2 linked regions of the Daphnia pulex genome follow. Each later gene encodes a partner of the first gene's protein in a complex. Links are inferred from orthologs where the notes say so. Each region holds a gene or a part of one and is shown on either strand. Other genes may lie near its edges.

The links.
Region 2: vacuolar protein sorting-associated protein 54-like (region 1) and vacuolar protein sorting-associated protein 52 homolog share a complex: the UniProt entries of both Caenorhabditis elegans proteins name them as parts of the golgi-associated retrograde protein (GARP) complex. The link is inferred for Daphnia pulex from reciprocal best matches to the Caenorhabditis elegans genes vps-54 and vps-52.

Annotation. Positions count from the first base shown.
Region 1 is NC_060017.1:2,977,958-2,982,376, reverse strand, and holds the start of vacuolar protein sorting-associated protein 54-like, read left to right. Parts: upstream 1-1,537; 5' UTR 1,538-1,643; exon of another isoform or gene 1,644-1,709; 5' UTR 1,710-1,818; coding exon 1,819-1,943; intron 1,944-2,017; coding exon 2,018-2,181; intron 2,182-2,240; coding exon 2,241-2,588; intron 2,589-2,658; coding exon 2,659-3,006; intron 3,007-3,068; coding exon 3,069-3,458; intron 3,459-3,519; coding exon 3,520-3,764; intron 3,765-3,822; coding exon 3,823-4,068; intron 4,069-4,132; coding exon 4,133-4,419. Other genes in the region: protein bicaudal C-like, read left to right, coding at 5-45, 110-275, 341-454, 540-653, 739-840, 924-1,043, 1,146-1,207. UniProt on the Caenorhabditis elegans protein: Acts as a component of the GARP complex that is involved in retrograde transport from early and late endosomes to the trans-Golgi network (TGN). The GARP complex facilitates tethering as well as SNARE complex assembly at the Golgi.
Region 2 is NC_060027.1:4,799,458-4,803,749, forward strand, and holds the start of vacuolar protein sorting-associated protein 52 homolog, read left to right. Parts: upstream 1-1,359; 5' UTR 1,360-1,375; coding exon 1,376-1,510; intron 1,511-1,562; coding exon 1,563-1,831; intron 1,832-1,899; coding exon 1,900-2,014; intron 2,015-2,099; coding exon 2,100-2,236; intron 2,237-2,300; coding exon 2,301-2,403; intron 2,404-2,493; coding exon 2,494-2,671; intron 2,672-2,741; coding exon 2,742-2,995; intron 2,996-3,066; coding exon 3,067-3,221; intron 3,222-3,284; coding exon 3,285-3,375; intron 3,376-3,433; coding exon 3,434-3,482; intron 3,483-3,548; coding exon 3,549-3,724; intron 3,725-3,798; coding exon 3,799-3,976; intron 3,977-4,064; coding exon 4,065-4,292. Other genes in the region: DIS3-like exonuclease 2, read right to left, coding at 1-416, 495-548, 618-737. UniProt on the Caenorhabditis elegans protein: Acts as a component of the GARP complex that is involved in retrograde transport from early and late endosomes to the trans-Golgi network (TGN). The GARP complex facilitates tethering as well as SNARE complex assembly at the Golgi.

The DNA.
Region 1 (4,419 bases):
ATAGGCTCTGTGGATGGTGTCTATCAAACTAAAATGGCCCTGATGGTAAATCACTTTTATTTACCCGCATGATTATTATGGATTTACATGTTGTTTTTTTCCTGTTTAGGAATTTCTTCCTATGAAGCTGATGTTTCATGTCCATGCTATTCATTTGACCTTTGGTGTCAACGAGCGAAAGTTGGCTAAACGTTTGGACGTGGCGGTCAAGATGGAACCGAGCACCAAACCGAGCAGCTTTCTGCTTCAGATCATCAGTTACGAAAAGAATGCAGGTATGTATGCTACACAACCGTTAGCCCAGTCTCCCATCATTTAGTTTGTGACTGTTGGTCTACAGGCAACATTTATGAATTCCGGAGACAAATCCTACGTCTTCCCAATCCCAACGGACTATCCCCCATCGGATTCCCGCTCAGCTTACCCAGAGTTCAAGAACCCGAACGTACTTTTCGTAAGGAGTTTACATTTTTAAGTATTTTAGGGTCTAACTAATAATGAGGTGGAAAAATTCTATCCTTCGACTTGATCCTTTGAAGTTCCAGCAGTTGGGAGTCGAACTGTTATACAACAACCTCGCTTCCGTGAAACCACTGAAGAGGTTTACCAATCGGGCGGTCAAAGAGCACACTCAAAACCTTTGCTACCATCTAGTGGGTCATCTTCGAGACTATTTCTTAATAATTTGAAATTTTTTTTTATCTCATTTGGTTTTCACGTGTGTTGTTTACTTCACAGACGAAAGTGTGAAGATGCCGGCCTGCACTTTAAAATTTGACAAAAACTCATATCGCCAACTATGCCAGATGCTGAAAGAATCAGATCTATTCGAATATTGTGGTTAGTTGGAATATTATGATGAACAATCGAAAAATTTTAAAATCTCAAATATCATATGTCCTATTAAATTGCTTTAAAATTAGAACTATTTCTTGCAAATGAGGTGGATCTGGCCATGTTCACTACACTGTCTGATGATGATCTGAAAAGCATCGGAGTAACCGCATACCGCCCACGAAAATTGATGCTGCATGCAATATCAGGTGACTTGGTTGAATTTAAAAAGATCATCTCTTCGGGTTTTTTTTTAAATTATTATTCTTTAAAATCTTGTTCGCTTTTTTAATGTTTCTTTTTCTTTTAAGAACTGAAGAACTTGCCAATTAGCTGTGCCGTTGAAGAAAACTCGCAATTTTGTCAGTTGTAAATTTCACCATGCGACGGTTTTACTAGTTTTGACACAGAACATCTGTATCCTGATTCCTTTCGGACTGCAATAGTTTTTTATAACTATTCTCTCACGTTTTATGCGCCGTTGTGCAAGCCCTTTTTTTTATTAATTTGTTTGACTGTAATTCGGAGGAAAAAATGCTTTTCCGCCCTTGATTCTATCATGAGTCAAGTTAACGTTTTTCATTGAATTTTCATGCTGCAACCTCTTGTATATCCAGACGATTATCATATATAATAAACACGAAACATTTTCATAAAAGTTTCACACTATTCTGATTGATTTTATTGCTAATGGTGGACTCGGTGCCCGGAAACACTCGAATAGACAGCGAAGGTTTGGATGTCGGTTAGCATCAACCTTGGCCTGTTGGCAAATGCTGACGACAGAAAAATATTAAACGATCAAAAAGGTTATTTTTTATTGTTAAATAGGTTTCCCTTATTTCTTAAGAGAAATTTCTGTTGAATTCTTCAAGGAGATTAAATTAATTATGGTTCACAAATGCCGGTGGTTTACGTTTTGATTGAAGTAAATCGATTGATCAAGTTTCACTTCCGTGTACTTTCTTCAGCACTCAATCTGTTATGGCCGTTTCAAAAACAAACACCGACTCTATAAGCTTATTATCGAGTGGGAGTAATTCACCAACATGGAGAAGTTGTAGTTATTGTCTTAACAAAATATTCAAAACATCAGCAGAATTTACAAGGTACAATACAATTCATTTCAGCAAGTTATAATTAAGTACTTTTATTTCTAACCTTGTTTTGTAATAAATCTTAGACACTTGAGAGATGATCATTGTAGTCAGGAAGGTGGCTCATTTGTTTGTCGGTATGGCTATAATGGAGTATGTACATCATTACCAGTTGAAGGGGTGAGCGATAGAGACTACGAAGACCATGTAATGAAACACCATGCTAAAACACAGGATGGAAAAGATGCAGGTACATTTTCTGCATTATAAATGTGATAACAATTTAATAAACTGTTATGTGCTACACAGGCATTTTGTGTGGGATGACACCTTCTCCGCTTCAAGGGCATCTCTATAGATTAAGCTTGCTGTCAGATGGGCCAGCTTGGAATGTCAATGCAGCTTGCCAAAACATGGCAGCAATTTTAAATGATCCAAAAAAAGGGAAACAGAAGGATTTCTTTACTAGAACATGGGGGGATGGATTTGTAGAAAACACTACTATTCCTGAAAGTCTCCTACTACCCATTGTTGATGAAGCTTATTTCACACCATACCTTAAGAAAATTTCCAAAAGATACAAAAAGTCTTCGAAAAAGTCCAGTGTAACATTAGCAACTGAACAAATTACAACAAGATCAACACTGAAACCCATTGGTAATCCAATTAATTCAGTAAATCCTTTTATTTGAAGAAATATTTTAACCAAACTTTTTGTTTTGAACAGATGGAAATGAGGGTGACTTGAGTGTTATTCCACAAACTTTCTTGCAGCCTACATTTAACCTAAGCCAACCAGATACCTTTCACAAAGTTTTCCCCTTCATCAAAGAGTCAGGATTATCGCACGTTTTGGGAACGGGGAAAACACTCCAAGAAAAACTGAGCTATTATTTGGACTTGATAGAGATGCAAATAGCTCATCAAATTTCCCATAAATCGGAAGACTTCTTCCAGGCTGTTGCTTCGCATGATGCCGTACGGGAGGAATTAGGCAAAGCGCTGACGGCGGTTAAAGCCTTAAGACTCAAAGTCAATCATGTTGATGCTACGCATGTTCAGGGGTCGTTGAAAGGTGTGTTCAATATCATTAATCTAATTATTGAATTTATTCCATTTTTCTTTAATTCCTCTCAGTATTACAACGGCAAGTTGCTCGACAGAATTATGCAATTGTTTATCGTAAACTAAAACTAATGGCGACTGTGCATCAAACCCAGCCGACTATACAGCTTCTCCTCTCTACTTCTGATTTCGTCGGCGCGTTGGATCTTATTGGGACCACACAAGAGGTCGTACAACAAGAACTGATGAGCATTCACTGTTTCCGTTATCTGAGCTCGCAGTTGAAAGAAATGGAGAATCTTATCGAAAATTTGCTTTCAAACGAGTTTGAACGCCTCACTACCGCCGAACTTAATCGACCCCTCAAAGAAGATGTATTAGTTACAGAAGAAGATAGATTGACTGCTGTTCTCTACGGCATGTTACGACAGAGGCGTTATAACTTCATTGAATTATTTAAAGGTACTGCTTGATGCACTTTTTGCTAGTGCCGATGTGACTGATAATCATTTTTCCATTTTAGATGAAGGATTGACCGCCATGAAAGCCTTGATGAAACAAACTATTGTAGAAGCTCTTGCAGCCAACGACACCGACGTTGAAAGAGGTTCTATGCTCTACGAGCAGCTCAAGCATTTAAACTTTGTGTCATGGACCAATTTGATGCAGCGATGTATGACAAGTTTGAAAGCTCTGCTCAACCGCATTCGTGCCATTCATGACATCATGGCCCTTGTACTTGCCACGGAAACAAGCCGTCAAGAAGAGGTATTTTTCTTTTCGGACATCATTTAAACAAATGACTGAATCATTTTTGATATTGCAGGTTGTGGTAACTGAAGATGATAGACAGAGACTACAGCAGTCATTAAAAGAAATGATACAGTCACTTTGTGATTCTGCACATGATCAGTGCGGACGTCTTTTATCATCGCGTACCAAAGATGGTGCTTTATTAGAAAGGGTTTCTTCCCAGGAATTTGTGGCTCTGGCAAAACTTATAGAGACTTTCGTGTTGGATTGTCACAATATAAGTGGACACAAATCCATGGGTTTGAGATTAGCATTTCAGGTAATAATAAAATTTCGTGTTTGTAATGCTGAATAACAACACGTTTTGTTTGTTTGTTCCAAAGGGTCAAGCTACGCGTTTCGTTCAAAAATTCCACGAAGAACGTCGTTCTAAATTGGGTGCTGTCTTGGACAGTGAACGCTGGAGGCAGGCCGAAATAACACCGGATATCCAAGCAAATGTTGACACCTTTTTCCGTTCACCTAGACCTAGTGATGCTACTGCCGCCCCATTCAAAAGCCACCCTGTTTCAGAAACGATTATAGTAAGAGGCGAGTCGTACGTGGTGGTGGGTGCAGCCTTATTCTTTCTTCCTCAATTGTTGGAGTACTGCAATTGCGTGGACAATCT
Region 2 (4,292 bases), on another chromosome or scaffold:
ACATTTTCGGCCATTGTTGAAGGGGTTTTTAGACCGCTTTTGTCTTGCAATTCTGCACCAAGATTTAAATTTGAAACATTTTCCATCAATTTCTTCGGCTTTTTCCTATTTTTTGGTCCCAGGGTTTTCGCGCCCCTAACTTCACGTGAAGCGGCTAAATCTGCATCCACACACTGAACTTCCTTTTCAGTCACTTTTGAAATATTTTCTTTGAGTTCACTGGCTGCAGCCAAATTTTTTGGAGTAATAGGCTGTTCGTTTTGCTGAATGTTTGGTGAACTCGGACTCTCAGCAAAACTTTTTTCACATTCTTTGTTTGCAGTTTGTGTTGGCAGCATCTCACAAACAACAATATCTCCATTAAGTGCTCTGTTTCTGTGCAAAATTCCTTCAATCAGAAAATCTTCGGTTCCATCCTAATACCATTGAGATTTGTTCAGTTAGTTCTTTTGAATATCAAAACTTGTGAAAACAAATTTGCAAGCAATACTTACAGGTGCAGAAATGTATGCCTCTTTATAGTTTTTAGGATTGATTCTTAAAACACCCTATAAATACAACAAACACAGACAGTTAAAACATTACATCAATTAATTCTGAATATAACCAAAACCTACTTCAAAAAGGGACTCATTCCGTAATCCTTCTTCAACATCCTTTTGGTCCCAATAATTTTCAAAAGTTTTACTACGATTGGGTCTCTGTGGTGTGGAGTTTTTACCAATTGACTTTGCCATGATTAATTTCTTGTATGGGCAGATTATGTATAGAACTTATCATCAATGTAATTAAGAAAATGTAGGAATAAATGCAAATTGGCAGATCAGTATACAAATGTCAGTTATTGCTTTCCCTCTGTTGGAACCCTTATAAACTGGTTACTGACCAGTGCTAAAAATATTGAGTTAAAACCTTTGTCAGAGGTTTGAAAGTCATAATAAATCTCAACACTCGTCAGATTACAACCTGATTAACAGTTGACGAAAACTCTTCCACAAAATGTTTTACTTTCTTGGAAGCATGCAATGAGCAAAGATTCTCACTCTTGTCGTGCAAAAAATAGCCGTACTATCTAGACTTCAATCGTTGCTTCAAATTTGAGTAAAAAAAATAAAAGTTTCGAAATTCAGGGATATTCGGCTGACGCTAATATTTTCAAATGAGAAAGATAACTTTAATGGAAACCCTAATCTCTGGGAGATATTCACAATTTTTGCATCTTACTCTTGCACAATCTCTTTGACAACAAGCAGACGATATTGGTCGTCTGCAAACAGCTGAGAGATTTCGTCACGATTCCAGACAAGCCGCAATAACAAGTTTGTGTCAGATTTCGGTTAAAGCCGTTAAAGCTGATTAAAAACATTTAACAGCCATGGAAGATCATTGCGACTCTCAGATAAAAATGGATTTAAAAGTTAGTCTCAAGGACAGCATAATAAAAGAAGCTCTGAATTCGGGTGTAGATTTGAGACAGTATTCACAACAAGTAGAACAACAATTACAAGAGGTATACATTTTTGACATGTTATGAGTTCAGCTAACCAACTTCCTCTTTCCAGGTTGAACTAGTGTCTGTGCAAGATTATGTCAATCAGGGAACATCATTAGCACAGCTTCATTCACAGTTCACCCAATGTGATGTCGCTCTTGAAAGAATGGAAGTGCTTCTAAGTACCTTCAGATCTCAACTAGGTGGTTTAAGCAGTGATATTTTACAACTCCAGCACCAATCAGCTCAGTTGGGATTACGTTTGTCTAATCGACAGGCAGCTAGATCCTTGGCAGGACAAATAATTGATGATTTGGTAATTCCTGAAGCCCTGATAAGGTAAAATTACAAAGTACATCTATTTGTCTATGTGTTGTAATTTTTAAAAATTTAACATTCTTGAATAGACATCTACTTGAAACTCCAGTGACAGAGCCTTCGTTCTCTGAACAGTTGATAATACTTCAAGCAAAGTTGGCTTTGAGTGGTGATCACCATCAGAGGTGCAGTAGAGCTGCTCAAGTGAGTAGGCCTAACCATATAGTTTGAGTTTGTGATTTAAAAAAAATGTCTAATATTTTCTACCTAATATTTTATGCATTTTAAGGATGTGGTTCCTGTCCTAGGTGCATTAAGGATTAAGGTGGTTGAAAGACTTAGGCAGTTTCTGCTTTTGAAACTACAACAACTTAGAAGGCCACTTGCTAATTATCAACTACCACAGAATTCTCTTCTAAAACACAAGTAAGCCTCTGGGTTTTCTTTCTGGATTCCAAATACAATTCACATTTATGTTTTGTTTCACTAGGAATTTTTACCACTTTCTCATAACCCAAGAGCCTGAAATAGCTTATGAAGTGAGGCAAGACTATGTGCAGACAATGTCAAAGCTATATTTCTCTTATTTTAAGGTTCGTGTTTTGATTTAAGAAATAATAATAATTTGTTTGGATATAAATTATGATTTTTTCGTCTATATTCTCAATTGTTTCTTGTTCTAGAGCTACTCCACGCGATTACTGAAACTTGTGGATTCAAATAGTGTTAATAAAGATGATGTTCTTGCTTCCGAAGATGCATCGTTAGGTGCGGCTGCTGCTGCCGCCGCAAGGTCCTTGTTTGGAAGAGCCGCTCCTAGTGGGCGTAGTTCTAGCAGTAAATCTACGGTTTTTACCTTAGGTAACCCCAAAAATTCTTTCTTGCAATATATTTGCTTATTTTTTGCTGTCTTCTTTTTTTAAAATAATAGGAACTCGAATTGAAGTTGTTACAAACTTAGAAGCCCCTGTTCTAGTTCCTCACGCAGCTGCCACTGGTACCAGCGCTGGCCATAAAGGTGAAACGAAATATTCGTATGAAATCGTTTTCCGATCTCAACACTACGCATTGGCCGATAATGCTTGCCGCGAGTATTTGTTCCTCTGTGAATTTTTCCACGTTGAAAGAGCCCCTGCCATGGAGCTATTTCAAGAAGTAATGGGGAAGACCTGCACTATTTATATGGTAAGTTTACTATACACAATGCGCAGCATATTATTCCTTTCTAGCGTCATTTGTTTTTTTTTTCTTTTTAGAAATTTGTGGAAGAATATGTTTCGTCTTGTTATGACTCACTTGCCCTTTTTCTTTGCATCCAAATGGTCCAACGTTTGCAATATCTTTGCCACAAGAGAGCCGTTCCAGCTTTAGATTTTTATTACGAATCTCTCGTCTCCACGTTATGGCCTAGGTAATACTGTTAAATTTAAATGATTTGTTGACTTTTTTCTTTAATATTTGCCATATTTCTTAGATTTGAATATTTGGTACAAGCAAACATTCAGAGTGTCCGTGACTGCGATCCATCTAGACTTTATTCAAACATTGATACGCGACCACACTATGTATTTACCTTAAACATACTTTGATTAAATTTCTAAACTAACGAAAAAACATTAATAGGTAGTGCGACGATACGCCGAGTATACTTCAGCCATTTCTGCGATTCACGGTTAAACACTTTTTTTCCTATTGCATTAATTCTTGTGTCGTAATTTTCTTTATTTTGTATAAAAAGAGCATAACAGTATAACTTCAGCCATGGACTGGACTCCACGCCTACACCATTTACTTTCGACCATGCAAGAGGAGGTTGAAGGCTTCACGTTGCGCCTTGCTGCAGCCTTTACTAAACGAAAGGATCAATTAGTAGCCCTAATCAACAACTACGACCTGATGCTGAGTGTGATGACCGTAATATAACTAGATTTTAGTATTTTACCGAGTTTCTCAGCTTATGTATTAAAACTTGTTGTCTATTTATTAAGGAGCGCAACCGAGAAGAAAGTCGTGAAGCCGCTCGGTGTAAGGAATTGCTGTCTGCTAGAATTTCAGAATTTGTCGAAGAAATTCTTTTTTTCCATTTTGAGGGACTCGTCCGATTCGTCAAAGACTGCGAAGTCATGCTTACTCGAGGGCTTAACGAAGCGTTGCGGAACGAAGAACGTATGCATTTTTTAAAGTCTTTAATTTTATTATTAGTTTTGTCTCTCGATATATAGAATTGTTCCGTTTCTCTTTAATCGGCTTAAAGGTCGGGCCACGCAAACCATAAACGCTTTCATGGCTGGATGGAAGAAATCTTTGGACGAGATTAATAAAGAAATCTTAAATCTGTTTCCGAATTTCAAAAACGGAACCAACATTCTACAAGCGACGTTGACTCAACTCGTCGAATACTACCACCGTTTCCAAAAAATCCTAACCCAACATCCATTCCGCAACGTTCCTGCTCGTGCTGATTTGATTAACATTCATCAAT